Elephas maximus indicus: one gene and its partners. The main gene of each other region encodes a partner of the protein of the gene in region 3 in a complex. Links are inferred from orthologs where the notes say so. Each region holds a gene or a part of one and is shown on either strand. Other genes may lie near its edges.

Region 1 (10,137 bases), on a different chromosome or scaffold from region 3:
GAGTAGGTCAGATCCTAATTCTTTATGAATCCTGTCCTTATAAAAGAGGAAGTGGACACATGAGAAAGATACTACTTGAAGATGCATCTACAAGTCAAGGAACCCAAGGATTACTGGGAACCACCAGAAGCTAGGAGAGGGGCATGGAATAGTTCTCTCAGAGCTCTCAGAAGGAATCAACACAGTTGATACCCTGACTAGGACTTTTAGACTCCAAAGTGTGGAAAATAAATTTGTGGTCTTTAAAGCAGCCAGTTTGTGGTATTTTTGTTACAGAAGCCCTAGAAAACTAACACAAGGGAACTCTGCAGAAGTACTGTTAATATACAGTAAAAGCAGGATTTGAAATAAGGCCTTTGACTTCAAACTGGTCCTTTTCAGGACACCACACTCTAAAATTCCAAGACTTAAAAACACATACAAACGCCAGAGCAAAGACATTTGGTTGGGAAGGACAAGTCTTTTTGCAAAAAGGCAGTATCAACAAATTTCAGTCTGTATACCTGCCTGTCTATACACTTATGCTCCAAGTTGACAGAGCAGAGAGATCTGGCACAGCACCATTACTAAGAGAAACACTGGCTGAAGTCATTTATTAATCTATCAAGTTATTTTTTGAGGGCTTAATAACGTCCAGGGGTTGCTATGAGTTGGAATCAACTGGATGCAATGGGTACTATGTGCCAGGCACTGTTTCAGGTGCTGGGAATATAAATGATAAACAAAATAGACAAAGTCCATACCCTCATGGAGCTTATATTCTAACCAGGGAGGTAGAAAACAAATATACAACATCAGGCAGTAATAAGTACCACAAAAAAAAAAAATAAATAAAGGGCTTTTAGGCTTAGAAAGAGGAGCACTGGTGGTGCAACAGTTAAACACTCAGCTGCTAACTCAGTTAAATGTTCAGATCCGTGGAAGAAAGACCTGGCTATCCGCTTCCGTACAGCCTAGAAAAACCCTGTAGGGTAGTTCTAATTTGTCACATAGGTCATCAGCACTCTAATTTACTTACAGCAACATGGAAAAAAAAAATCGGCATAGATTTTGAAAATACATTGTGGGGGTAGCGGTGAGCAAACAAACTTAGGAGGTGTGCATTATTTGCATAAAAACACAGTATGCTCTTTTAAGAATTATCTATATGGGATTAAAGTGACAAGAGAAACTCAAAAAATTAGGAGCCTTAGGAGGCAATGAGTTTTTGTTAACAACAGAGGAAAAACTCAGAAAAGGAAGGTGAGAATGGTTGCACAACTCCAAGTATGTAATCAATGTCACTAACTTGTACATGGTGTATGTTTTACAGTGTATATTCTCAACAAGATAAATTACAAATAAATAATAACAAAAACTAGACTTTTAAAACATTAAAAACAGGGGCTCTGGGGATGCTGTTCAAGGTGAGCTGACCAAAACAGAAGCAAGGTCATTTCCAATTTCTGAAGCATTTTCCCAAATTAACAATTGCAAATCCACCTCCTAACCTTGATCTAAAACCACTGTTTCCTCGGCTTCCTGAGCAGAGCTTCCTGGACAGGCTGTAGTCTGTCCGGCTTTATGTTTAGAATTAGAAAACACAAGTATTTTGTTGCAATAAGGGTTAGCAGTATAAACAATACCCCTCTCTCGCTCAGTTCTCTCAGAGTCAGTATGCGGACTAACTCTACATTTGTTTTTTCCAGATGGCCTCCCTGTTAGCCCAACATGATTTTATTGTATAAGCCATCTTTCCCCACTGATTTAAAATGCCACCTTTTCATACTTTTTATATCTGTCCCCAAATCACATTGTTTTATTTAATACAGCTTAATGGTACAATTTAATACCTAGTAGAGCTAAAAAAAAAAAAAATTTTTTTAGCTAAAGTGTTAAAAAGCAAAGACGTCACTTTGAGGCCTAAGGTGCGCCTCACCCAAGCCATGGTATTTTCAATCGCCTTGAATGCACAAGAAAGCTGGACAATGAATAAGGAAGATGGAAGAGTTGATGCCTTTGAATTACGGTGTGAGCAAAGAAAACTGAACGTACCATAGACTACCAGAAGAACGAACAAATCTGTCTTGAAAGAAGTACAGCCGAACGATCCTTAGAAGGATGGCAAGACTTCATCTCACCTACTTTGGACATGTTTTCAGGAGGGACCAGTCCATGGAGAAAGATACAATGCTTGGTAAAGTAGAGGGACACCAAAAGAGAGGAAGACCCTCAATAAGATGGACTGACACATGGCTACAATGATAGGCTCAAGCATATCAACAATTGTGAGGATGGCGCTGGGCTGAGCAGTGTTTCGTTCTGTTGCGCATAAGGTCGCTATGAGTCGGAATGGACTCGACAGCACCTAACAACTAGAGCTAACCCTGTAGTATCCTTTCTCTCAGAATTTTCTGGCTATTTTTGCTTATTTTTCAGTATGTCTGTTTCTCCCTCCCCCCCCAAAAAAATTCCTTTCTGTTTTTATTGGGATTGCATTAAAATTATTGACTGATTTAGGGAGAACAGACATCTTTATAATGTTGAATTCTCCTTCCTATGAACATGTTGTGTTTTTATTTTTCGTGTGTGTGTCCCTCAGCAGCCTTTTAATCTATATTCATATAGATTTTATACATTCCCTGTTAAATTTATTCCTATTTCATCTTTTGGATTGCTGCTGTTAAAGTCTTTATTTCTATTATATCTTCTGATGTCTTTTTTTTTTTTATCTCATAATTTGAAGCTACACCAAGAGCTGTCAGGATGGAAGCAAATTATTTATTAAAATGGACTACAGATTGGTAGGTCATAAATTACTTGTAGACACTGGCCTATAATGAAGAAAAAAAAGACTACGAAAAAAAAGCTTGGGTTTTGTGTTTTATCAACAGTATAAAATTATCCAGTTCTAGGCATCAAAAAAATAAGAGTCTTGGCTCTGTAGATGAAAATGGGAATCCACAAACACTAGGAGCAGGAGGATGACAGTGCTCTTAAGAGAATGGCTTCTGGTGACATAGATAAGAAGCTAACCAGCAGTGCAACTGGGAAACCAACCTTTCATAAAACCTTTCATGGAGGGTGGCTAATGCAGAGTAAAAAGAACAAATGTATGAAACCTAGTGCTGTATCTCTGTAATATTTTAAGACTTCATGATTATTTTTTAGACTTAAATAACCAGAACGGTATGATAAAAACCAGTTGTTGCCGAGTCTGTTCCAACTCAAGGCCACCCTACGTGTGTCAGAGCAGAGCTGCGCACTGTATGGTTTTCAGTGACTGATTTTTCAGAAGTAGATTGCCAGACCTTTCTTCTCAGGAGCCTCTGGGTGGACGCTACGCTTTACTTTAACCATTTATACCACCCAGAGACTCCCAACAAATAAATGTAAACAAAAAAACTTAAAGTGAAACTAGTAAATTAACTTTTGCGTGTTTGAAAAAAAGAAAATGTTTCCACTTTTGGGAAAGAAATACATGCACATGGAAAGCAAGAAATACAGTAGGTATACAGTGAAAAGTAAGTCTATCTCGACACTGACCCCTCATCCACGGTCACGCTTCTCCAGAGGTATTATAATCTCAAATAATAAAAACCGGCAATATGTCATGATTATGAGGAGCTATTCAAAGAAATTTCTCCTAATCCAGTCTTATTTTTAAAAACAATTTTAAAAAAGCAGACTTCCACCTATCCCACCAAAGGCAAATCTTTGATCTCATTTATCTGATTATTTAGAAACACATCTCCATGTCTATAAATAACATTTGCCATTAGTACTTCTCCATTTCTCAGTTTTAGGCATTCTCTATTGACTTTCCACAAGGAAAGGTAAAGACTTAGCTTTTTCGTTCCCCTATCCCACTTCTACCAGCCCCACCACATACCCATACCTTTCTCAGTTAAACTGTTATTTTGGTTAGTCAATATAATTATGATGCTGTAAACCCTGTTCAGGAGCCCTGGTGGCATGGTGGTTAAGTGCTCAGCTGTAAAGCAAAAGGTTGGCAGTTTAAACCCACCAGCTGCTCTGCAGGACAAAGATGTGGCAGTCTGCTTCTGAAAGATTACAGCCTTGGAAACCCTGTGGGGCAGCTCTACTCTGTCCTACAGGGTCTCTTTGAGAAGAATGGGTTTCGTTGGTTTTTCTGGTAGAACACTGTTCATAACTCTAATTACTTTTCCCTTCCTCACTTTTCTTACTTTTTATTTCCCCGAAGTTAATAATTATTGTATTTGCTTATTTAATTTTCTATGTACTTTTCTCAATTTCAACAAACAGCTTCTATTCCAATTCCTCACGATTTGGCATTTAAAGATGTAAGAGGTATTCTAAATCTTGTTCTTTGCAGTACTGACTCTTACAGTGAAAAATTGCAAGCAAATCAAATATCCATCAACAGGGAACTGGCTAAATACATTATAGTTTTTCCATATAACGAAATAATTTGCAGAACTTAAAAGGAATAAGGTTGATCAACAAGTACTGATACACATACCAAACTGAGCCTTTCATTTTCTGTCAGGTTATACCTGTAACTCCTTTATAATATTTTACAATGGGCAAGCATTTTTGAAATCAGAAGAAAATGTGAGAAAAATTTATAAAGTAACCACAAAAAAAGACAAACAGAACTATATTTTGTTTATAGTTATTCATATGACAAGACTTTTTTCTTTAATTTCATCTTATTGAATTGCTGGAAAAAAGTCTGAATTTTTTTTTGTCAGCAAATTAAAACAAGTATTTTTTTTTTTTTTTATAGCTCCTAGGCTCTTATTTCAGAGGTGTCCAGAGATTCAGCTTTCGAAAAGGGAAGACCAGAAGTTTCACACATCTAAAGGAAGATGTTCTCAGAAGATGAGTGGAAAGGGTTGACTGCAAAGGAAGCGCTCACTTATTCTGAACCAAATACAGGTACTCCCCAGTTTACAATGTATTCCAGCTAGGAGGAACCACACTTACCATCCTTTTCTTTCTTTCTTTTTTTCGTATATCTCACCCATTAGTAAACGTACTACATACAATGCTGCAGTAGCGTAATTTGCCGATGTTATCATTCTCATGCCAATCCCAAAAGATAAATAAAGATCAGATTTATAAAGATACAGATAATAAAAGGCAATAATAATTGGGAAAAAAATTAAGTATTCGACTTATGTCAGAACTGACTTCATAGGAATGGAACCCCATTCTAAGTCCGGGACTACCTGTGTTACATTGCCATCCCGTTGATTCTGACTCAAGGCAACCTGTTTGGTGAGTGGAACTGCCCCCATGGGGTTTCCGAGGCTGAATGTAACTCTTTATGGAAGCAGACTGCCAGCATCTTCTGCGGAGCGCTGGTGGATTCCAAACACTGACCTTCTGGCGGGCAGCTGAGCGCTCTAACCACTGCGCAACCAAGGCACCTTTGTACTACTTTACAGACAGTAAATGCTTCTTTTCGTGCAGATAGTGCTGGATGGTGCAGCCTAGGAAGGTGTGACTTAGCCAGCAGCACTCGCTGGGATGGTCGCTTAACCAATCAGCGCCTGGGCAAATACCTGATCTTTCTGCGGCTACGGTGTTACGATGTGCAATTACAGCGACAGGATGGGGTCATTAATACAAAGGCACTGTCACGGCCACCCCTCCATCAGGCCAGGTCCACAGAAGTAAGGAGATCTAGAGACAGACTGTTGGCAGGCTTCTGGCCCCAAAGTTCCCTGAAAGCAATGACAAACTTTTCCAGCGGTCGTGGACCTCCTGGAGAATCAAAACGAAACATTATCTATCTACTCGCCTGGAAATTAAACGTAAGCTCAGGCCCACGAGCCTGTGTAAACAAGTATTCGCGGACCCTTAAGACCCAAGCTGGGCTCTCCTCGGCCAGGGGTTGCTCGTCCCCCGTCGCCCCTACCCTCACCTCCCGCCCACTCGGGGTGGGCCGCAGGGCAGGGGCGGAAAACACGCACCGAAACGAGCGGGACGCGCAGGTGGTCCCCCTGCAGCCGGTTGAAGGCGGGGAACGTGCTCCAGGCAAGGAACCCGCCGCGCTCCGGTCCCAGCAAGGCCACAAGCAGTACCTGGTGCTGGAAGCGCACGGTCGGCTGCTCTTCGTAGCTGCTCCGCTTTAGCCAAAACCCTGAGGTAAAGAGGGCGGAGAGGAGGTCAGGGCGGCTTGCCCAGGCGCGGGGAGCCGTGTTGCGCAGCGCTTGGGGGCTGGCTTACCGTGGCTCCGAAAGGCCACTAGCAGCGGGGGGACGTATGTGAGTGCGGCGGCCAGCAGCAGAAACAGCGCGGCCTTGGAGCAGAGCCCAGCGCGGTAGCTGCGCTCGGCAGGGTGAGAGAAGAGCTCGTAGAGCGCCATGAACGACGTGCGGGGGTCCGCAGCACGCTGCGACCTCGCGGAGATTCGAAAGGGAGGAATAAGTTTGGCTTCTCCCGGTTGCCATATTCTTGGTCTCCATGGCAACCGAGGGGTGAAACGAACCAATAGCAAGGAGGCAGTGATCTGTTAGGGGTGGGGCTAACGGCAGGCGGTGCTTTTGGTGGATGGTCGACTTCGCTTTAACTGTGGCGTTCTTTCTAAGGCTGAGTGGAAATAGGATGTTTCCATGTACCAAAATTTTAATTAACCGTCTGTGTTAACATTTGTGTAAAATAGCATTTTCATAAAGGATGACAAAAAATACTTCGTTATGAGCCATCTGTTTAAGCCCCAATGTGGTTTATACTAAAGTGCAACCACTCAGAGCACACTTTGCGTTGGAGGAAAACGCACAGGACGTAAATGTGGCTGCGGTCCTGGATCTGGTCCTGGGTTAAGACCAAAGCCACGTTCTTTTGTCTCCAAATTTTCCGTGCCTTCCACTCAACAGCCAGACACAGAAACAGAAAGACAGAAATCCCACACTCTTCGAGGAATAAAGGATAATTATTATGTTAAAACAAAGATCATATTAAGCCAATAATAGAAATTGATTTCAAGTTTATTTAATATAAACCCAAAACCATTTTTTAATGGTTTTATTTAATATAATATGATTTGTAAATCAGGCAACACTTCTGATAGTCAAACTGTTTCCAACGAGAACAGAACTTCCAAAGATAGTTATATCCCATCTTATGGACACTGTCATGGAAATGACCAGAACAGTGTTTTCATAATAACAATTTACCCTAAAACACAGCTTCCAGATCCACCTTGGAGCTTCTATTTATGGAAACTGAACTCTCAAAAGAGCTCAACCTCCAAGGCAAAATGGTCTTTACTAATTGGCAAGACTATTTGGCTTAAAGGTGACTTCTAGGAGACCAGTTTGTTCAAGGCTGAAGATTCAAAAGATCACATCAGAGCAATGGCATGGGTGTGGTCACCCCAACTCCATGTGTTACCAGAATAAGGTTCCTGCCTCTCACTGGTCAAGAATGAGCAGGTAAGGCACGTAGTTTTCCACAGGAGCAAAGCTTTATTGAAGAGGCCTGCAAAGAGAGATGAGGAGGGCCTAGGGCAATGCTGACCCTCCTCTTACAGAACAAAGGACAGGCCCGAGTTTTTAAAAAGTTCTTCGGTGGGAAAAGATTCATGTTTATTCATAGGCACAGGCGGATATATATTAACTAAGGTGCACGTGCAGTAGCTTTCCAAGATGGCTCCTGTCCAGGAGGCCTCTGGGATTGTAGCAGGACTTATTATGGGGTGTCACACCTGCACAGTCTCTCTCATTCCCTGGGTTCGATTTCCCAGCTAGGCTGTAGCTCCTCACTGTCCCTGGTGGAAGGTCACACAGTGGTCACAGGTGCATGTTCTGCTCAAGTCTCTGGGCTTGGTTTTCTCCAGCTGCTTCTGAAAGGCAACTTTAAAGAAGTTTGTGGGCTATTTTAAAATACCCTGCCCCACTGTTCTAGGGAATAGCTTTTGTTTCTGTGCCCTGGCCTATTTCCTGTTACTTTGTTTGCAGATTTGGGGGCCCCTCTGTTCCTTGTCTTCTTGCTAAGTCTCTGGGTTCCACACTTAACCTCCTATTACCTCCCTTATCGTATAGTCTATTTCTTTTACTTGTTTCGCCTCTAACCACACCAGTCTCTTTGCTATTTTTCAAACAGGCACGCTCTGATCTCAGGGCCTTTGCTCCCTGTCTTACATGCACCCTAGAAATCTGGGTTCCGGGAGAATTAAAAACCGTGCTCTCTGGTGTACTTTGCTACCTCTTTTTAAATATTGGTTACAAGCTTTGCTAGCCATTGGTTTACTCCTTAAATGAATTTTTTTTTTTTCTAACCAGTGTTTTGGACATGGCAGAAGGATTTTTAAAAATTATTTTTGTTTATTGTAAATAACAGTTCACAAGAAGGATTGATGAAACATTTAAAGTTTACATGCACACATCCTGTGAGGTGGAGAACAAAGACAACGGTCAAAGTGAAAACAAAACCGAAAATAAATAATACTCTTCTTTTTAATCAGGGGAATGAGACCAAGGTGAGTTTTGTGGTTGATTATCTAGATCAGAGTTTGGCAAACATTTTCTGTAAAGGGCCAACTAGAAAATATTTTAAGCTTTGCGTGTCTACAGTCTCAGGTGCAACTGCTCAACTATGTGATTGTAGCGTGAAAGCAGTCATAGACAATATGTAAACAAATGCGTGGCCATGTTCCAATATATTTATGAACATTGAAATGTAAATTTCATATAATTTTCATGTGTCACAAAATGTTACTAATTTTTTTAAATCATTTAAATGTTTTTTTAAATTCTTAAGCTTGTGGGCTATACAAAAACAGGCACCAGGCCAGATTTTGTCTGTGAGCCGTGTTCTAGGGTAAAAACATCACAAAGTTTAGTAAAGCAAAAAGAAAGTTTTATTCGGCATATGTTCAAAGAGACAAAAGTGGGAAACGGACAAGCATGCTGTCTGCCCGAGTCCAAGGAAATATTACAGAATAAGCAAAAGCGGGAAAAAAGACAAACATGCTGCCACAGCCATGTCTGCCCGAGTCCAGGGAAATATTACAGAATAGGCAAGAATGGGAAAATGGACGAGCTTGCTTCTAGAGCAATGTCTGCCAGGTCCCGAGAATATTAGAGTCATCAGTATATATTAACATTACAAACGGGCAAAACCATTGAAAGCTTCACCTTTTCACAGATTAGCTAGAAACTGTTACCCTATATTTTGAATTGTCTTTCTTAACAATCCTTGGCACAGGTTTCAGTAAGGACGGTCAGGAGGGTCTTCATTGGTCCAACAAATTTTCTATTCACTAAATGCTAACAGAAGAAGAACGAAAACTCCTCTGTGTTCTGTTTTATGATACGTTTATGTGAAAGTTTCCCTAAAAGATATTTTCCAAGAGTCTTCTAACATCTTTATACCTCAGGGACCAGTTAATGTGTCCTTGTGAGTCCTTGTGAGTCTACTCCAGCTGGGTCACATTCTAAGACAGGTAATAACAGCTCCAATATTATCTCCTAAATCAGCTGTAGTTTGCTAACGTTGAACTAGATACTTACTTTACTTCTTTCATTGGTTTATTATGTCAGGGTTGAGAATAAATAACTTACAAAGATGCTTTATAATAGTGTCGAGAATCATGAAACTATTATTTTGTCTTTTTGACTTCATCTCTTTAAGGAAGAGAAGTGACAAAAGAAATCAGTTCCTGAGGGTACTAGGAGGTGGTGGTAATGGGTTTAATCTTTCAAGAGGTGTTACAAAGATCTCCAGCTTTTAATTCTGATGAAAAGACATGGTCCTTATTTTCCATTAGATCTTTATGTTATGCATTGAATTGTGCGCCCCCGCAAAATATGTGTCAATGTGGTTAGGTCATGATTCCTAGTATTGTATGGTTGTCCTCCATTTCATGATTGATGTAATTTTCCTGTGTGTTGTAAAAGCTAATCTCTGCCTGTGGTTAATGAGGCAAGACTGTGTTATGCTAAAGAGGTTTAGAGTAGAATGTAACATCCTTACTCAGTTGCATCCCTGATCCAATGTAAAGGGAGTTTCCCTGGGGTTAGGCTTGCATCACCTTATATCTTACAAGAGATAAGTGGAAAGAGAAGTGAGCAGAGAGTGGGGGACCTCATACCACCAAGAAAGCAGCACTGGGAGCAGAGCCCATCTTTTGGACCCAGGGTTCCTGGTGAGAAGCTCCTAGTC
Region 2 (10,137 bases), on a different chromosome or scaffold from region 3:
GTGCGAGATCCAGAGCTACACGCAACGGCATGGGTGAATGTTGAGCAAAATGTTGAGCAAAAGACAGAAGACACAAAAGAGTACATACTGTATGGCTTCACTTATATAAACTACAAAAAACAGGCAAAACACACCCATGTTGTTAGAAATCCAGTTCGTGGCCACCCTTGGAGACATCCTGGAAGAGGCACAAGGGGAATTCTGGGGGTGGCTGGTCATATTCTTTTCTTAAGCTGAGTTCTGGTGACCAGGCATGTTCAGTTTGTGAAAATTAATCAAGCCGTTCAGTTATGACTTTTTCATTTTTCTGTACATATGTTCCACTTTTAGAAAGGCAAATCTTTACACACTGATATGGATACATGTTCAAGATATATCACTGAGTGTAAAAGGGTAGGTGTAAAACAATACGTAAGATATGCCAGTTCATTAAAGTAACAATAAAATCATCAACAACAACACACATTTTAACGCTTTCACTGTTCTAAATTTATTACATATGGGTACTAGTTATCTATTGCTGCACAACACATCCACACCCCTCTCCCCCCAAATTTGTAGGCTTAAAACAAGAAACATTTATTATCTCACAGATTTTCTGTAGGTCAGGAACCTGGCAACAGCTTAGCTGGGTGGTTTTTACCTCAGGGTCTGTCATGAAGTTACAGTCAAGATGTTGGACAGGGCTACAGTCATCTGTGGAAACCCTGATGGTGTAGTGGTTAAGAGCTACAGCTGCTAACCAAAAGGTCGGCAGTTCGAATCCACCAGGCACGCCTTGGAAACTCTACGCGGCAGTTCTTCTCTGTCCTATAGGGTCACTATGAGTCAGAATCGACTCGACAGCAGTGGGTATGGGTATAGTCATCTGCAGACTTGATTAGGGCTGGAAGATCTGCTTCCAAGATGGGTCAGTCACATAGTGTTAGTTGTTGGCAGGAGCCCTGCGTTCTTTCCTATTTAGGTCTGTCCACCAGCTGATTTACTGTCCTCGTGACATAGTGGCTGACTTCCCTCAGAGTAAGTGGTTCAAGAGAGAGAGCAAGGAGTGTTATGGATTGAATTGTGTCCCCCTCCCCGCCAATGTGTGTGTTGAAATCCTAACCTGTGGCACATTTGATCATGACCTTGTTTGAAATAGGGTCTTAGAAAATGTTATCAGTCAATATGAGGTGGTTCCAGAGTAGGGTAGATCCTAATCCCACCTGAGTGGTGTCCTTTTGAAAGAGAAGAGACACCATCTGACCCTGCAGCTGCAAGTCAAGGAATGCCTGAGGCTGCCAGAAGCCAGGAGAGAGGCGGGGAACAGAAGCTTCAGAAGGAATCCACACAGCTGACACCCTGATCTTGAATTCCCAGCCTCCAGAATGTGAGACAATAAATTTCTGTCGTTCAAAAGCCACCCACTTAGCGATATTTTGTTACAACAACCCTAGGAAATAATGCAAGGAGGAAGCCTCGATTCCTTTTATGATATAGTCTTGTTAGTCACACTCCAATATTTCTACCATGTGCTGTTGGTTAGAAGGAAATCACCAAGGCCAGCCCACACTCAAGGGAGGGGAATTAGAATCCACCTAATGAAGGGAGGAGTGTCAGAGAATCTGTGGACGTACTTTAAAACAGTTTCATACATTAACTCATTAAGTCTTCATAATACCTCAGTGCAGTGAGTACTATCATTCATTCCGATGTTACAGATGAGGAAACTGAGGTACAGAGAGGTTAAAAGTCACACAGAAGAGACAGAGCCAAGACAAATCCAGGAAGTTAACTTGTGGGGTCCATTTTCTTTCTTTCTTTCTTTTTAAATTGTGTTTTAAGTGAAAGTTTACAATTTGAGTCAGTTTCTCATACAAAAACTTATACACACATTGTTATGTGACCCTGGTTGCTCTCCCTACAATGTGACAGCACACTCCTCTCCACCCTTTATTTCCCGTGTCCATTCAACCAGCTCCTGTCCCCTTCTGCCTTTTCATCTCACTTCTAGGCAGGAGCTGCCCATTTAGTGAGTGAGGTAATTGGTGGTAGCTGGCTGCAATCTAGGTCTTCTGGTCTCAGGCTGGTTGAGTCTCTGGTTTATGTGGCCCTTTCTGTCCCTTGGGCTCATATTTTCGTTATGTCTTTGATGTTCTTCATTCTCCTTTGCTCCAGGTGGGTTGGGACCAATCAGTGCATCTGAGATGGCCCCTTGCTAGCTTTTAAATGGGGTCCATTTTCTTAATCACTAATGTTAATCCAGGAGTCTCTGGGTAGTGCAAACAGTTAATTTGCTCAGCTGATAATTGAAAGGTTGGTGGTGGTGCCATGGAAGAAAGGCCGGGAGATCTACTTCCAAAAAACAAGCCATTGAAAATTCTATGGAGCACAGTTCTATTCTGATACACATGGGGTTGTCATGAGTCAAAACTGACTGAATGATAAGTAGTTTACTGGTAGTATTAACCAGTGGGGAAAAAAACAGTTGAAAAAAACTAAGGAACACTGACAGGACTTGATGGCCACTTCGGTAGAGAAGTGATAGAGCCTAGGATGACACCCATGCACAACTTTCACACTCCTTAGGTATCAGGCGATCTGTTGCTATGAAAAAAAAAAAATTTTTTTTTTTTTTTTTTGCTATGAGTCAGAATCAACTCCCAGGCAACTGGTTTGGTTGGTTTATTTTGGTATTCAAGAAAGGCAGGATAGCAGAAAAGTTAATAACCTAAGTTAGGGACAGAGTCAGAGAGATCTATGATCAATTTGGCTTAAAGCAAGTAGTTTTTCTTCGTTTTAAATGGGGCTGATATTACCTACCCCGTAGGCTGTATGTAAGGATTGAAGGAGATAATAAATGTAAAAGAGTCAGTACCAGCTGGCACAGAGAAAGTGATCAATAAGTGGTGCTATTAAATATGTATCTATTAATATTACTCTATTGAATTATTTTATTTATATAAATTTTATTCTATTGGAATGTCCTTCCTCCATAATTTTGAGTTGGTGACTCAGAAGACTCCCTGTTTTGCTAAAAGTGGGAAATAAGTTCTCACTGGACTCCTGATTTGGGCTGAAGGAACAAGGGACTGAGGTTCAGCTGGAGTTAGAAATAGAGTGGGAAACGCATTGCTCAGGAACTCAGGTTGTGTGAGTACTTTTGACTCTGGTCCACTCTCCATGCACCCATTATATGGATTAGATAACTGAGACCTATAGATGGGCCTCCATGTGCCTATCAGTTTGTTGTACTGTGTTTTGTGTGTTGCTGTGATACTGGAAGCTTTGGCATCGAATACCAGCAGAGGCACCCTTGGTGGACAGGTTTCAGCTAAGCTTCCAGACTAAGACAGACTAGGAAGAAGAACCTGACAGTCTAATTCTGAAAAAATTGGCTAGTGAAAACCTTCTGAATAGCAGTGAAACACTGATAATAATGCCAAAGAGGATCCCCTCAGGTTGGAAGCCACTCAAAATACAATGGGGGAAGGGCTGCCTCAAAGTACAGTCGACCTTAATGAGGTGGATGGAGTCAAGCTTCCCAGGGACCTTCATTTGCTTATGCCGCACAACTCAAAATGAGAAGAAACAGCTGCAAATATCCATTAATAACTGGAACGTGGAATGTACAAAGCATGAATCTAAAAAAACTGTAAGTCATAAAAAATGAAATGAGCAGGACAACTTACTGGAAGAGCTAAATCTTCAAAAACGAGATTTTCTGCAGATAAAGGGGGATTCTACAGGTTCGCTATGAATGGAATCCACTTGAGGGTCAACGGTTTGGTTTTTGCATTTTCAGTTCCTCACTTTCATTCCCTCCCCCCACCCCCTGCTCAGAATCAGGAATCAGGGTGAAAAACTGTGCAGTATTTCTGAGAAGGAAATTGTATTTCTCAGTCCTTCGTGGACCTGGGTCGCTATGACTCGTAATCTACTCCACGGCAATGGGTTTGTTTTTTTGTTTTAAGGGGACTGGGGAAATTTAAAAACAGACCAAGAACCCTCTCTGAATGTGGAAGGATTATTTCCAATTATGAGACGGGAGGATGCACACAGTGTAAGGGGAGGGACTTCCCCATGGCCTTGGGTCGTCTCTGATTTGTGGTCTTTATGGATTTGTTTGTTTTATAAAGAGGGTCTGGGAGAAAGAGTTGGCGCTCAAAGAAACCCAGCCACACTCAAGATGGTAGCTGCTCGGCCACGCCCCCAATGGCGGAACCTCACGCTGGCGGAGAAGCGCTGCTTTCCCGAACGGGAGCTAAAAAAAAAAACAGGCGGAGAAAACGTCCGTCACAGGCCCGCCCCGCCCCCGAGAACAGCTAGGGCCAATTAGCGGCGCGCAGGACGGGAGCTAGGCCAGGGGTGGAGGCTGCTGTTGCCGTAGCAACAACTAGGGATCCCGGAGGCGGGCACGGCCGTGGAGAGATCGGCCTCTACAGATTTCTCGCTGCCGGGAAGGTCCTGGGAGAGGCGGGAGCCAGGCCTGGGAAGTCGGCGCCCGCGGAGAGAGGGACAGGTCAGACTCAGGAATTACGATACCCTGTGCTGCTTTCGTCGCTATGGGTCGGCATCGACTGGACGGCAGTGGGTTTGGCTTTATGGTTTTTAACCGTTAGGGGTGTTAAAGTCGCAATAAGGCATGCGTTGTCTTGAGGGGGCGCGGCTAAGGCACTTACGACGCATGCGCATCATGGAGCTTCGGGCCGGGCTGACGCTAGGAGGCGGGGCTCTTGCCCTTGTGTGCGGAGCCAGAGACCCCTGGGCGGGACTTTTCGGTGGACTGATACCAAACCAAACGAAACCACTTGCGTTAGGGTAGTTTCCGACTCTTAGGTACCCTCTAGGACAGAGTAGAGCTGCCCCATAGGGTTTCCAAGAAGCGACTAGTAGATTCAAACTGCCAATCTTTTGGTTAGCAGCCGAGCTCTTAGCACCAGGGCTCCGTGGGCTGAGCCAAAAAAACCAAGCCCATTGCAGTTGAGTCCATTCCGACTCATAGCGACCCTATAGCCCGGAGTAGAACTGCCCCACAGGGTTTCCAAGAAGCGCCTGGTGGATTGGAACTGCCGACCTTTTGGTTAGAAGCCGAGCTCTTAACCAATGCCCAGCAGGGTTTCCGTGGACTGAGCCAGAGGTACCCAAAACAAAATCAAACCTGTAGCTGTGGACACATTCCGACTCACAGAGACCCTATAGGACAGAGTAGAACTGCCCCGCCCCGTAGTGTTTCCAAAGCTGTCATCTTTACGGAAGGAGATGCCACGTCTTTCTCCCGTGGTGTGGCTGGTGGGTTCAAACCCCGACCTTTCAGTTAGCAGCTGAGCTCTTAACCACTGTGCCGCCAGGGCTCCTTGAGGTGGAGGTATCTTGGGGTGGGGCAGAGTTAGACGCCAGCTATTGCACCCAGCAGTCCTGTTTTTCCCGGGTTCTCCTGGGAAGACAGGGTAGTGGTTAAGAGCACAGCCTCAGGGGTTTGACGAACCTATCTTGGAATCCTGATGCTGCCATTTACTCTGTGGGTCTTAGTTTCCCTACCTATCAGATGGAGCAAATAATATCTCACAGGGCTGTGATTATACTTTTCCTTTCCCAGGGCGATGGCTGAGGTGCACGTAATTGGACAAATCATGGGGGCCACCGGTTTCTCAGAAAGTAGCCTCTTCTGCAAGTGGGGCATCCACACAGGTATTCCTGGGCCTGGTTTGTTCCCCCCCCCCCCCCCCGCCAAGTCCCTGTGCCCAGAGGCTCCGTGCTCTCTACTTGCCCCCTGACCCAGGTTCTGATCCTTACCTTCCGTCCGCCGTCAGAAATCAGCTGTCCACAGGAGCCTTAGGCTCACTTCATATTCTGCCGTGGGGGCTCTGGCTCCCACCCTAATGAACACGCAGCTTCTAAGCATATGGGACTATAGGCTAGGACCCCTCTCCTGCCAATTCTCAAAACTCTAGGTAGCCCAGACCCCCCCCCCCCCGCCCCGCTTTGGACTTCACTAACTGTCTTAGGGATGCTCTGGGACTCTCCACAGTCTTAATAATAATTCTTTGGTTAACAGTCTCTGTGTATTGAGTTCGTACTGTATAGTGGAAGTTTCTGTGCCCGATTTACAAAGGCAGCCCATTCTCTGGTATTCACAGTCCTCTTTGAGAAGGTAGGAACTGGCAGCCATCCATATCCTTTCATGCAGGTTTAGAGGGGTACCCCCAAAGCCCCCAGTTTTCATGCCTCCCCATCTGAGGCAGTATGCATAGTGGTTAGGACCACAGGCCACCAAATCTGGGTTCGAAGACTAACTCCACCTATTAATTGGAGGCCTTTGGGCCTGAACTCTCTGAGTATCTGTTTCCTTGTCTGAAAATGTGACTAAATAGCAGCTGAGAGGCAGCACAGTGTCAAGATTAAGAGCACAACCGCCTGGGCACAAAACCAGCTGTTGCACTTCTCTTTGCTTTGATTTCTGTACCTGAACAATGGGAATAATTTTACCTCATGGGATTGTTGGGAGGACTAACTTTATATCAGCAGCACTTAGAGCAGGGTCCAGTGGGTAGTAAGTGTTCAGTAAGTGTTTGTCTGGCTCTTGTAAGACTTCGATGGGGTCTCGTTTGTAAAGCCTGGTGTGTGTTGCCTGGCCCATGAAATAGGTATGGCTTTTGCTGTCAGCATCCCTTCAGGCTCTGGGTCATTTGTGATTTCACTGGTAGGCGGGGTGGTGATTCAGATTCCCTGGGGAATTGATATCCTCCAGCTGAGTGGTTAAGGGGCAGGTTCTAGAGTCAGACTGGGTTTCCAGTCTGGGCCCTACCACTCAACTGCCCTGGGACCCTGGGCAGGTGCTGTCACCTCAGTTTCCTCATCTATGTGTTGTTAGGTTCTGTCGAGTCAGTTCCAACTCATAGCGACCCTTTGTATAACAGAATGAAACACTGCCCACCTCTGCACCATCGTCACAATCATTGCCATGCTCGAGCCCATTGTTGCAGCCACTGTGTGAAACCATCTATATCCCTGCTGCCATCATGTCGATTCCGACTCATAGCAACCCTATAGGGCAGAGTAGAACTGCCCCAGAGAGTTTCCAAGGAGCGCCTGGCAGATTCGAACTGCTGACCTTTTTGGTTAGCAGCCGTAGCACTTAACCACTATGCCACCAGGGTTTCCACCATCCATCCTTCATAGGGTTTTTTGGAAATCTTGTATGTGAAGAGCCTGGCTCAGGGCCTGATGCTTCATTCTCTCAGTCTTGTGGGAAAGTGGCTAACATGGTTTTTATTAGTTCAGGGAGGGAGTTGTAGGGGCACGGGGATTGGTCCAGCAGAGAGCTCAGAGGTAGTCTGATTGGGCTCCGCAGTCAAACAGTCAGTGCTGAGCTTGAATCCAGCTCTGCTGTGGGGTCTCGGTCTGACCCAAGTGCCTGGCACACAGTAGGCACTCAGTGAATCTTGGTGGAATGAATGACCAAGTGATTTTCTTTGGCAGAGCTTATTCTTTTACTTCTTAGATCACTCATTTGTCTGACAAGTATTTACTGAGTGCCTTCTGTATACCAAGCATTGGGTTTGAGGTTCTGGAGATACAGCAGTGCACAAGTGCCCTGCTTTCCTGAGGCTCCCAGTAGGGGACACAGAAAATAAATAAGCAGACAGGTGAGCACAGTGATTTTAGTTAGTGGTTGGTGCCAGGAAGAAAAGAGACAGGAGGAGGTGATGGGGACTAATTTTTGGATCGGAGTGTCAGGGCAAGCCCCTCTGTGGATGGATGAAAAAGAGCCACCCACAGGGAGCTCCAGGAGCAGAGCTTTCTAGGCAGAGGGAATGGCAAGTGCAAAGGCCCTGAGTTGGGAATGAGCTCGGCCAACACTGGGGAACAGAAATGGGACCAGTGAGGCTGTGGGGGTGAGGAAGGGGGAGAGTGATGGAGATGAGGGCAGGAAGGTGGGCACGCAGGCCATGCAGAGCCTTAGGCACCGGGTGAGTGTCTGAGCTGGGGGGGTTGGGCTGGGCAGGGTGGGATTAAGAGTGCTAGAGTCAGATTACATTCATTACCTAAAGGGATCAGCACAGCATCTGGCATGTAGTAAGCACTCAGAGCATTTTGCTGTTACTATGCACCCTTCACGGCACACCCAGCTGTGGAGAATACTCTTGGCCTCATCTTAGTCCTTGATCTAGGCTTCTAAATATGGAGTGGGAGTAGTAATAAAATGATATTTTATCCAGCACTCACTATGCCCTAGGCACTGTTTTAAGTGCTTTGTATGTATTAGCTTAATCTCAAAAACTATGAGGAACACATTATTTTTACACTCATTTTACAGATGGGAAGACAGAGGCATAGAAATGTAACTTACCAAAGGTCACAAAGGCAGGAAGAGGTAGTGCCAGGATTTGAACCCAGGCATTTGACTCCAGAGTCTGTGTTTTATAACCCCTGCCCCCAAATGTTAGGGAGAAACGGGGTCCTACAGCCACAGTGGCATCACCCCACTGCCGCATCTCAGTGTCCTGGCTCTCCCCACAGGGGCTGCATGGAAGCTACTGTCAGGCGTGCGGGAGGGCCAAACGCAGGTGGACACCCCCCAAGTGGGGGACATGGCCTACTGGTCCCACCCCATCGACTTGCACTTTGCCACTAAAGGCCTTCAAGGTAGGTTCCAGGCATGGGCCCTGGGCCAGGCTGAGGGGAGGGGGGCTGATAGCACCCTAGCTGCTGGGATGAGAATATCAAGTCTCTGCCCTCTGCCCTTATACCTTTTTCGGTCCCTTTCCCAGCCCAGCCTGGCCCCGGAGAGGCTGAGCTGAAGCATCCCAGGTGGGCTGTAAGGGAATCCCAAGTATGAGGGGCTGGGGCGGAGGCCCGGGGTGGAAGGGGAGGTGGGAAGGTAGGGACCAGGGTGGGAAGGGAGATGGCCTCTAAGTAAAGACAGAGGGAGACAGTCTGCAATAGGGAGCAATCTGGGATGGGGTTTATGAGGGAGAGAGAGACACAGAGGTGAGGGCTTGCTGCTGCTTTTCAGGGAGGGCCCCTTAGCTTGAGAGCAGAGGCTCAGGGGGAGATGAGTGCAGGGGAGGAGGGGTATCAGAAAGCACTTTCTGGGAGAGAGTTTGGGGTATTGCAGAGGAGCAGATTCCAGGCTTGGGAAATAACCAAAAACCAAACCCACTGCCATCCAGGTGATTCCGACTCATGGCGACCCTATAGGACACAGTAGAACTGCCCCATAGGGTTTCCAAGGCTGTAAATCTTTATGGTAGCAGACTGCCACATCTTTCTCCTGCGGAGCAGCTAGTGAGTTTGAACCACTGACCTGTTGGTAAGCAGCTGAGCGCTTTAACCACTGTGCCATCAGGGCTCCCTATATTAGATGATGCCAGGAAGATACCAGTGACTGAGATACCCACAGCCCTGTTCTCAGGGGCCCTACCATCCAGTGGAGGAGACAGACCTGTCCCCACACAGTGACAGCCCAAGTGGACAGGGCTGGGGTGGGGGGCCCCTGGGGCCTGGGAACCGAGAAGAGGTTCCTGACCCTGTCGGGGAGATCAGGGAGGACTTCCTGGAGGAGGGGACATTTGAGCTTTGATGTGAAGGGCTAGTAGGAGCTAGTGAGGCAAAGGACTGGAAGAGAGTTCCTAAGCAGAGGGGCATCTGAAGGACTGAGGGAGGGAGACTAGGAGGGCAGCAGGGAGTGAGGTGGTAGGGGACAGGCCATGCAGGGCCTTGAACACCAGGCTGAGGACCTGAGGCCATTTGAAGGCACTGGGGTGCCAGGGCAGGCGATGGACAAACTGTATTTTGCTTTTAAAAGATCTTCTGGCTGCCAAGTAAGCAATGAATTGGGAGGATGAGACAGGCAATTCTGTCCCCCAACGTTGGTCCCCTCCCTGGTTCACCCCCGGCTCCACCCCAGTCTGTTCCCCACAGGTAGCCAGCGGGACCCCGTGAACATCCAAATCAGATCACGTTCCTGCTCTGTCAGAGCCCTCCCTCCCCTGGTCCCCGTGCCACTCAGGGTAAAAGCCAAAGCCTTCCTATGTTGTCTTAGTTCTCTAGTGCTGCTAGAACAGAAATACCACAAGTGGGTGGCTTTAACACACAAATTTATTTTCTCACAGTTTAAGAAGCTAGAAGTCCAAATTCAAGGTGCCAACTCCA
Region 3 (10,137 bases):
GAGCCATGGAACTCTTGACTGACCTTCATGATCAATGAAATGTATATTGTGTGAATTCAGACTGATAGAAAAGGGGAAATTGGAGACCATGTACAAGGAAAGTCTGAGCAAGTGGGACTACAGGCTCCCCTACCTGCTTTCTCACCAGAAATACTCAACTTCCTCATTCATAAAATGAAGATAGTATTTCCTGTCTCATAAGGTGCTGTGAAGATTAAATAAGATAATATATAGAGAGTGCCAAGTAAAGTGCCTGGTCTTTGATACATGTTTAAAAAAATACTATTTTCTCTTCTCTTGTTGAGGATAAGATAACACAACTCCTTTTATATCTACTATATACTATATATGCCTAAAGATACAGTAAATTTCCCCTAAATTATTACTCAGAACCAAGGGAGAGGCACTGTTATGGACTGAATTGTGTCCCCCCAAAATATGTGTATCAATTTTTCTAGGCCATGATTCTCAGTATTGTGTGATTGTCTACCATTTTGTCATCTGATGTGATTTTCCTATGTGTTGCAAATTCTACCTCTATGACGTTAATGAGGTGAGATAGGTGGCAGTTATGTTAATGAGGCAGGGTTCAATCTACAAGGTTGGTTTTTGTCTTGAGCCAATCTCTATTGAGATATAAAAGAGAGAAGTGAGCAGAGAGACCTCATACCACCAAAAAAGTAGCACCAGGAATTAAGTGCATCCTTTGGATCGGGGGTTCCTGCACAGAGAAGCTCCTAGTCCAGGGGAAGATTGATGAGAAGGATCTTCCTCCAGGGCCAACAGAGAGAAGGCCTTCCCCTGGAGCTGACGCCCTGAATTTGGACTTCTAGCCTGCTAGACTGGGAGAAAATAAATTTCTCTTTGTTAAAGCCATCCACTTGTGGTATTTCTGTTATGGTAGCACTAGGTAACTAAGACAGGCACTATTTTCAGGCGTTTATAAAGTCTTTCATATTACAGATGTCATTCTCATTACTTTATTTGGAACAAAACACATTACACTTGTCAAGATACTTTAGCTTGAAATGTATGCATTTAACACTGATTTTCATAGTCATGAAGGTCATCAGACAGAATTGAGTTTTTAAAAAGAGAAAAAGGAATTTAACACAGATTTAGTAATCATTTCTGGGTGGGCATGACCTTCCTGATGGAAGAAGTGAGTATCATTTTAGACAATCCTTTTAAAGATTACTTTAAAATCAAATTTAAACAAAGAGAAATGAAGCCCCAGTACATGCTACAACATGTGAACCTTGAAAACATTATGCTAAGTAAAAGAAGCCAGGCGTAAATAACCACATGTGTGATTCCATTCATACGTCCAAAATAGGCAAATCTACCGAGACAGAAATGGTTGCCTAGAGATAGGGGTTTAGGGGGATTGGGAAGTAACTGCTAGTGGTTATGGGGTTTCTTTGGAGGATGATTAAAATGTTCTAAAATTGATTGTGGTCACTGTTGCACAACTCCGTGAATATACTAAAAGCCATTGAATGGGTGAATTGTTTGATATGTGGTTTATAGCTCAACAAACCCACACAGAGGCTCCATGGGAGAAAGACCTGGAGATCTGCTTCTGTAAAAATTACAGTGAAAGAAAAAAAAAATCCTATGGGGCAGTTCTACTCTGTCACATGGGGTCACTATGAGTCAGAATCGACAGCACTCAACAACAAAAACAAGGTTGTTACAAAGAAACATAATTGCCATGTAAATATTACACATGAAGAAAGAAAGAAAAACTATGCAAATAGGTATTGATGGTTTGGATAAAATTTACAGCGACAGCATCATGTATCCAAAGAGTTTTGAATCTCAAACAAATTAGATAGGAACGGTGTCAATGTGCTTAGACGGGAATGAAGTATTTCTTAGGCAACTCAAAAGTTAATCTAGAGAGGGCCAAAAACTAACATCAAAGAGGCGCATGGTGAATTAAATAAAGTTGTTTCATGAAATGCAATAGTAGGAAAAAAATCAATAATCCTAAATCGATATATAATTTTATATAATATTGTTTCTAAAATATATATGTGTATAGCAATTAATAACATAAATGTTGTAAGTAGACATTGGACCATGTCATCAGCATCCCTAAAACTTTTTAAATCAGATTGACCACAAATTTTGAGGGAATCTTCACATTAGAAAAATGAAAATTCAATTGAGAGTGGTAGCAATTAAAATCCTAAAGTTACGTAGAATGAGGGGAAGCCCTAACTGTAGGGAAGAACCCTGGGAGTCTTATTGGCCACATGGTTTACCCCAGAACATGAGATTCAGGCCACACCCAGTTCAAGCCTGACCCGTAGGGAACATTTCTTGAAGGCAGATAGTGCTTTATTACAAAGTCTAGGAGAGGACACAACATAAATTGACATCTTTAAAGCCAGTTGTTCAAAAATTATCAGATGTATGAATACCATTCATAAGATATTAAACTGCTCAATGGTGAAATTGTTCAAATGAAGACTGGACGACCAAAAATCTGCCAGGAATTTGGCTGTTCCATGTTTTCAAACTGTGGGCTGCAACACGTTGCTGTTGTCGTTGTGTGCTGTAGAGCTGATTCCGACTCATAGCAACCCTATAGGACAGAGCAGAGCTGCCCATGGGGTTTCCAAGGCTATAATCTACAGGAGCAGATTACCAGGTCTTTTCTCCTGCAGAGTGGCTGGTGCGTTTGAACAGCCGACATTTTGGTTAGCAGCTGAGCACTTAAACGTTGCACCACTAGGGCTTCTTGCAACAGATTAGTAAGATATGAAATCAATTTAGAGGGTACACAACCGGCATCGGTCTATATCACATATTTTATATTATATGTTATATATTGTTGTTGTTATTGTTAGCTGCTGTAGACTTGGTGACCCTGGGCACAGATGGAATGAAATGCTGTCCAGTGCTGTCCCACCTCCATGATCGGTTGTGGATCGGACCATTGTGATCCATAGAATTTTCATTGGCTTATTTTCAGAGGTGAATTGCCAGATCTTTCTTCCTAGTCCATCTTAGTCTGGAAGCTCTCCTGAAATATGTTCAGCACCAGAGCAACATGCAAGCCTCCACTGACAGGGGGGTGATGGCTGCATATGAAGTGTGTTGGCCAGGAACAGAATCCAGGCCTTCCACATGGGTGGCAAGAATTCTACCACTTTACCACCAATGTCTTCATATGTTATATATTAGATTAGAACCCAATAGAACAGAAAAAAAAAAAAAAGAATAAAATTGAAACTATCAGTACATAGTATCTGTAGTAAGGGTAAGTAATGTTTCCTGAAAACTATGTTTTAAATGTATATGTATGTGTGTGCGCACACACTCGGTTGTGGTATAAAACTTACTTCTTAAAATGATTTGCAGTTTAAGAAAGCTTGAAACACAATGCTGCAGAAGGAGCCATGCAGTGGATGGTAGGCTGGGTGTGGCGTCCCCTAAGGTCCCATCCAATTCTTGGTTGATGATCCCAGAATTCTCAGCACTAAAGAAGAAAAAAACGTTAGACTCTTCCAAGACTGAGGAGGTGGTGTGCCAGTCAGTATTACTGAAACACACACACTTGAGAAACAAGTCCCCCACAATTCAGTAATTGTAAACATATTGCATGACAGTGTTCTCAGCTCCAGGGAGAAGTCACAGGAGAAGCAAAAGCCAGAAATTCCCCTGTTGTTGGAATGGAGAGAATTTCAGTGCTTTAATTCACAAATCCAATGAGTAAGTGGTCAGCCTATTTAAATTTCTGGGAGGAGCCTGGCAGCGCAGTGGTTAAGAGCTTGGCTGCTAACTGAAACCCACCAGTGTTCAGTGGTTTGAACCCACCAGCCGAAACACGTGGCATACGCGTCTGTAAAGATTGACAGCCTTGGAAACCCTATGGGGCAGTTCTACTCTGTCCTATGGGGTTACTATAAGTCAGAAACCAACTCAAAACAGCAACAAGTTTTTTTTTTTTTTTTTAATTTAAATTTTTAGACAGAAAAAGTTTATAATCAGTAAACTTCTTACAGGCCCTCTTTTGTGTTAATAAAATTCTCAGTAGTAGGTCTCTTACCACTGATAATATTTTCAACAAGTCGTTGGTGCCAACTCTGGGACTACAGAGCAGAATACAACTGGAGGCGTAAGTACGATCTAACCGCAGAACACTGGAACAGCTCTTCAAAATTCCAAAACAAGTTTTAAAATACAAGTTCGGCTTTTTTTCCTCTTAAAGGATGAAGTGACGCTCCTTGGCAAGAAGCACCGTAAGTAGTATGTGATTATAAACATATTTCGCTTCTTTGGAATAGAATGACTGAAACTAAAACAATCTGGTAAACTTGTTAAATCTGCAAGTGTTCAACTCACAGAGGCAAAGGTTTACCTTAGAAATAAATTAATATTTATTGAGCACGAACTGTATGCCAGGCATAGTGGTAAGTGCTGTGGTTTAGTTGAAAAATCTCTCTGATATATTCCCACTATGTAAGTCTCAAGGATGGACAATTTAATCATGGAAATGGGTTGTACCCAAATAACAAAAACAGAGGGCTGATCATGGTAAATGTTTCATCTTTCCTGGGTCAAAAACTTTTTCGGATGTGAAGAAAGCCAGATTCCCTAACCAGAAAAATGCACATATACCCACACATTGTTACATTTGCTTACAATTTAATTCTACGTGTGGCTTTCGGGTTCTGAACGTTGGCTTTAAGAGAAGTTCACTTAAAATCCTTTGGAAGAGGAAAGATTGAATTCGCAATTGCTGTTAACTGCCATCAGTCAGCTCAGACTCAGGGCGACCTTTTGTATAACAGAACAAAACGTTGCCTATTCTGGTGCCATCTTCCTGATTATTGGTATGTTTGGATCCATTGTTGTGGCTATTGGTGCCAATCCATGTCTTTGAGGATTTCCTTCATTTTCACTGGCCCTCTACTTTACCAAACATAATTCCTTGTCTAGTGACTGGTCTTTTCTGATGTGGCTAAAGTAAGAATTCACAGTAGAAGCCCTCTTATCCCACCTGTTCTTCATCAACTGGCTGGCTTATCCAGAATTCTCCATTCTCTTTTTAAAATATACCAAATGATGCCCAAGGCAGCTGTATACTTCCAGCTCATAGGCTGCTTTTCATATGAACTTCTACTCCTGACATCTGAGTGTTACACTGACCAGGGGTCAGTACTGTTTGCCCCCAACCCCAATTTACACTTGCAATTATGTAAACTGCTTAGTAGAATATAAACTAAGGTAAAACAAGTATGAGCTCTATGGTAGGCAGAATGATGGCCCCTAAAGGTGCCCCACATCCTAATCCCCAGAACTGGTGAATATGTTAGGTTACATGGCAAAGAGAAATTAAGGTTGCAGATGGCGTTAAGGTTCCTAATCAGGAGACGGAAGCCCTGGTGGCGCAGTGGTTAAGAGCTATATCTGCTAACCAAAAGGTCAACAGTTTGAATCCACCATGTGCTCCTTGGAAACCCTATGGGGCAATTCTACTCTGTCCTATAGGGTCACTATGAGTTGGAATCGACTTGACAGCAACAAGTTTGGTTTTAATCATGAGACATTAAAATAAAAAGATTGTCCTGGATTATCCAGGTGGGCCCAATATAATCACCAGAAAAAGAAAAACTAGTTCTGTAGAGTCAATTCTTACTAATAGCAACCCTACATGAGTCAGAGTAGAATGGTACTTCATAAGGCTTTCATGGCTGTGAGCTTTTGGGAGCAGATTGCCAGGACTTTCCTCTGAGATGCCCCTGGGTAGGTTCATATCTCCAATCTTTTGGTTAGTAGCCAAGGGCTTAGCTCTTTGCACCACCCAGAAACTCCATGTGTAAACACAAGGCTCCTTAAAAGTGGAAAAGGCTGGCAGAAGTTAGGAACCAGAAAGACAGCAGCATGAGAAGGACTCCACCTGACTTTGTGGGCTTTGAAGATGGGAAAATGGAGTCACATGCCAAGGAAAGCTGACAGCAAGGAAGTGGGTGCTCCCCTAGAGCCTCCAGAAAGGAACATGGCCCTGCTGACATCTTGATTTCAGCCATGGGACCTGTGCTGGATTTCTAACCTATGGAAGTGTAACATCATATATTTGAGTTCCTTTAAAATCACTAAATTTGTGGTGATTTGTCACAAGAGCGATAGAAAACTCATACAAGCCCCAAGATATTTTTTTTCTGTAAGAACTTTGCCAAGACTTGATAACAAATTGAGTCAATGAATTGTTATTGTTTACTGCCATGTTTGTCAAGTGAGCAAGACCCACTTTAAAATACGGGGGGTGGGGGAGTGGGTGTTCATAACCCTAAAACGGTGCCTTCACTAAAACTGCTTCACCAGCATCTAGAATCTGTCATCACCCGTCTGTCAGTTTTTCATACTGTGGTAGTTTGTACGTTGCTATGATGGTAAAAACCATACCAATAGTATTTCAAGTACCTATGGTGAATGGGTTTCCGTGAGCTTCCAGACTAAGACAGACTAGAAATAAAGGCCGGGAGATCTACTTTTGAAAATTAGCCAATGAACACATTTTGGATCACAGCAGAATATTGTCTGATATAGTGCTGGAAGATAAGCCCCTAGCTTGAAAGACATACAAAATACACAGTGGCCACAACAAGGGATTCACACATACCAGTGAAGATGGCACAGAATTGGACAGCATTTCATTCGGTTGAAGATGGGATCACCATGAGTCAGAGCTGACCTGAAGGCAGCTAAAAACAACCACATGTCAAGTGGTCAAGAACCACTTTAAAATACTGGGGATAAGGAGGGTGGAGGGATCTTATAAAATTTAAGAAGATGCCCTTACTAAATTTTTTTTACTAGCATCTAGAGACTAAAGGAACAAGACTGGAAATCAACCACGGTGCATAACAGGTGCAATTTATCCAAGAAGCCAAAGTCTGCTGTATTTAGAGGACCAAAAAAGGTCTTAGCCCTACGCAACAAGACTGATGAATAAATGCATATATTTACATGTTTTAGATAAATAATAAGTAATTAGGGGACAGATAGATTTCTTGTGTGATTTCTTATACTAGCAGACTTTATTTGCTTAAACAACCACCTATCCATCTTGATCACATTGGCTAACAGGACTTTCTTCTACCATGTTTTCTCATCTGGACAACTCAAACGTGAGGAAACCATGGTATCTTCATAGGATCATACAATCCAAACTATCAATGGGCTGAGCTGAATTGGCGTGTGTCTCTTTGGGGACACTTTATGATTCTATCGATTTAACAGTTACTTCTGTGTTTTCTGTGTTACCTGCACTGTGCCTGGGAATTTGCTAAGCACCAAGAGGTCCAACAAAAAATATGTGTATGTATATATATAATATATATATAGTTGTTGTTGTTGTTGTTATGCGCCATCAAGTTGGCTCCAACTCTGTGTTACCTGCACTGTGCCTGGGAATTTGCTAAGCACCAAGAGGTCCAACAAAAAATATGTGTATGTATATATATAATATATATATAGTTGTTGTTGTTGTTGTTATGCGCCATCAAGTTGGCTCCAACTCTAGCAACCCTGTAGGACAGAGTAGAACTGCCCCATAGGGTATCTAAGGAGCAGCTGGTGAATATGAACTGCCGACTTTTTTGTTACAGCCAAGCTCTTAACCAATACACCACTAGGGCTACATATATAGAGAGAGAGAAAGACAGAGACAGAGAGAGGCAGAGAAGTACAAAATAGTAATATGCCTTCTTAAATTATACACACCTGTGGTTTTGATAAAAATTAAAATTAGATAACTTTGAAAAGAGAACACAATTTTGGAATAGAACAGCTCTAAGTTTGAAACCCTGGTGGCATAGTGGTTAAGTGCTACAGCTACTACTCAAAAGGTTGGCAGTTTGAATCCACCAGGCGCTCCTTGGAAACTCTACGGGGGCAGTTCTACTCTGTCCTATAGGGTCGCTATGAGTTGGAATCGACTCAACAGCAATGGGTTTTAAGTTTGAAATTTGGTTATCCCCTTTACTAGCTGTGTGAGCATGAGTAAGTCACATAATGTTCCCGAGCCTTTGATTATTTTCATCTGTAAACTAGAGAATAATAGTATCTACTTCACAGGCATTTGACTGTGTGGATCATAACAAATTTTGGAGGACATTGCGAAGAATGGGAATTCTAGAATACTTAATTGTGCTCATGAGCAACCTGTACACGGATCAAGAGGCAGTCCTTCCAACAGAACAAGGAGATGCTGAGTGGTTTAAATTCAGGAAAGGTGTGCAACAGGGTTGTATCCCTTCACCATACCTATTCAATCTATATGCTGAGCAAATAATTTGAGAAATTAGACTATATGAAGAAAAACGGGGCATCAAGACTGGAGGAAGATTCATTAACAACCTGCATTATGCAGATGACACAACCTTGCTTGCTGAAAGTGAAGAGGACTTGAAACACTTACTGATAAAAATCAAAGACCACAGCCTTCAGTGTGGATTGTTCCTCAACATAAAGAAAACAAAAATCCTTACAACTGGACCAGAAAGCAACATCATGATAAACAGAGAAAAGAGTGAAGTTGTCAAGGGTTTCATTTTACTTGGGTCCACAATCAACACTCATGGAAGCAGCAGTCAAGAACTCAAAGGATGCATTGCATTGGGCGAATCTGCTGCAAAAGACCTCTTTAAAGTGTTGAAAAGCCAAGATGTCACCTTGAGGACTATGCCATGATGTTTTCTATTGGATCACTGGCATGGAAAAGCTGGACGATGAATAAGGAAGACTGAAGAAGAATTGATGCCTTTGAATTGTGGAGTTAGTGGAGAATACTGAATATACCATGGACTGCCAAGAGAACGAACAAATGTGTCTTGGAAGAAGTACAACCGGAATGCTCCTTAGAAGCAAGAAGGTTGAGACTGTGTCTCACATACTTTGGACAACTTTTCAGGAGGGATCAGTCCCTGGAGAAGGACATCATGCTTGGTAAAGTAGACGGTCAGCAAAAAAGAGGAAGACTGTCAACAAGATGGATTGACACAGTGGCTGCAACAATGGGATCAAGCACAGCAACAATTGTGAGAATGGTGCAGAACTGGGCAGTGTTTCGAAAGCGACAACAGCAACTTCACAGGAAATTAAGGAAGGTAAAAATATAGTAATGGGGAGGAAATTGCTGAAACCAAAAATGGCTGTAGGCAGAAAAAAATTGTAGCCAGTTTTGCCTTCTAAGGTGCAGTCAAAGTGAGAAGTGGGGAAACAAAGGAACACAATTTACATTACAAAAAAAAGAAGGTTGCCATGGAGTTAATCTCAACTCCTGGCAACTCAATGTGTTACAGAGTAGAACTGCTCCATAAGGTTTTCTTGACTATAATCTTTTATGGAAGCAGATTGCCAGGCATTTCTTCTGCAGTGCCACAGGGTGGGTTCAAATCACCAATCTAGGGCTTAGTAGTCAGTGCAAACCATTTGTGCCACCTAGGGACCCCAACTTAGATTAAAAAAAAACCAAGGCCATTGCCATTGAGATGATTCTGACTTAGAGCAACACTATAAGACAGAGTACAACTACCGCATAGAGTTTCCAAGGAGCAGCTGGTAGATTTGAACTGCCAGCCTTTTAGTTAGCAGCCAAGCTTTTAACCACTGTACCGTCAGGGCTCTAAGTCTTATATGGGGCAGCTTCTTTTACAGCACCTATCTTGGTGGAAGGAGACATAGAGGAATACAGAAAGATACAGAATAGACAGCTTTTCGTTTACCAAAGCCTTTTAATAAGTTGTGGTAGGCAGTGTGTTTTATTCAGCTCCCTACACTTTTTTTAAAATTTTTTATCGTTCTTTAAGCGAAGGTTTACAAATCGAGTCAGTCTCTCATACAAAAATTTATATACAACTTGCTAAAAAAAAAAAAACCCACTGCCATTGAGTCAATTCCAACTCATAGCGGCCCTATAGGACAGAGTAGAACTGCCCGATAGAGTTTCCAAGGAGCGCCTGGCAGATTCGAACTACCGACTTCTTGGTTAGCAGGCCTAGCACTTAACCACTACGCCACCAGGGTTTCCACACATCTTGCTGTATACTCCTAATTGCTCCCTACTGAGACAGCACACTCCTTCCCTCCACTCTTTATTTTCGTATCCATTCGGCCAGC

What was found.
Region 1: CC2D2A (region 3) and TMEM231 share a complex: the UniProt entries of both Homo sapiens proteins name them as parts of the tectonic-like complex. The link is inferred for Elephas maximus indicus from reciprocal best matches to the Homo sapiens genes CC2D2A and TMEM231.
Region 2: CC2D2A (region 3) and B9D2 share a complex: the UniProt entries of both Homo sapiens proteins name them as parts of the tectonic-like complex. The link is inferred for Elephas maximus indicus from reciprocal best matches to the Homo sapiens genes CC2D2A and B9D2.

Annotation. Positions count from the first base shown.
Region 1 is NC_064839.1:41,211,098-41,221,234, forward strand, and holds the start of TMEM231 (transmembrane protein 231), read right to left. Parts: upstream 6,431-10,137; 5' UTR 6,338-6,430; coding exon 6,199-6,337; intron 6,113-6,198; coding exon 5,943-6,112; intron 1-5,942. UniProt on the Homo sapiens protein: Transmembrane component of the tectonic-like complex, a complex localized at the transition zone of primary cilia and acting as a barrier that prevents diffusion of transmembrane proteins between the cilia and plasma membranes.
Region 2 is NC_064829.1:109,827,652-109,837,788, forward strand, and holds the start of B9D2 (B9 domain-containing protein 2), read left to right. Parts: upstream 1-4,358; 5' UTR 4,359-4,569; intron 4,570-5,578; 5' UTR 5,579-5,582; coding exon 5,583-5,670; intron 5,671-8,502; coding exon 8,503-8,628; intron 8,629-10,137. UniProt on the Homo sapiens protein: Component of the tectonic-like complex, a complex localized at the transition zone of primary cilia and acting as a barrier that prevents diffusion of transmembrane proteins between the cilia and plasma membranes.
Region 3 is NC_064823.1:150,137,745-150,147,881, reverse strand, and holds the start of CC2D2A (coiled-coil and C2 domain-containing protein 2A), read left to right. Parts: upstream 1-4,090; 5' UTR 4,091-4,129; intron 4,130-4,222; 5' UTR 4,223-4,253; intron 4,254-10,137. UniProt on the Homo sapiens protein: Component of the tectonic-like complex, a complex localized at the transition zone of primary cilia and acting as a barrier that prevents diffusion of transmembrane proteins between the cilia and plasma membranes.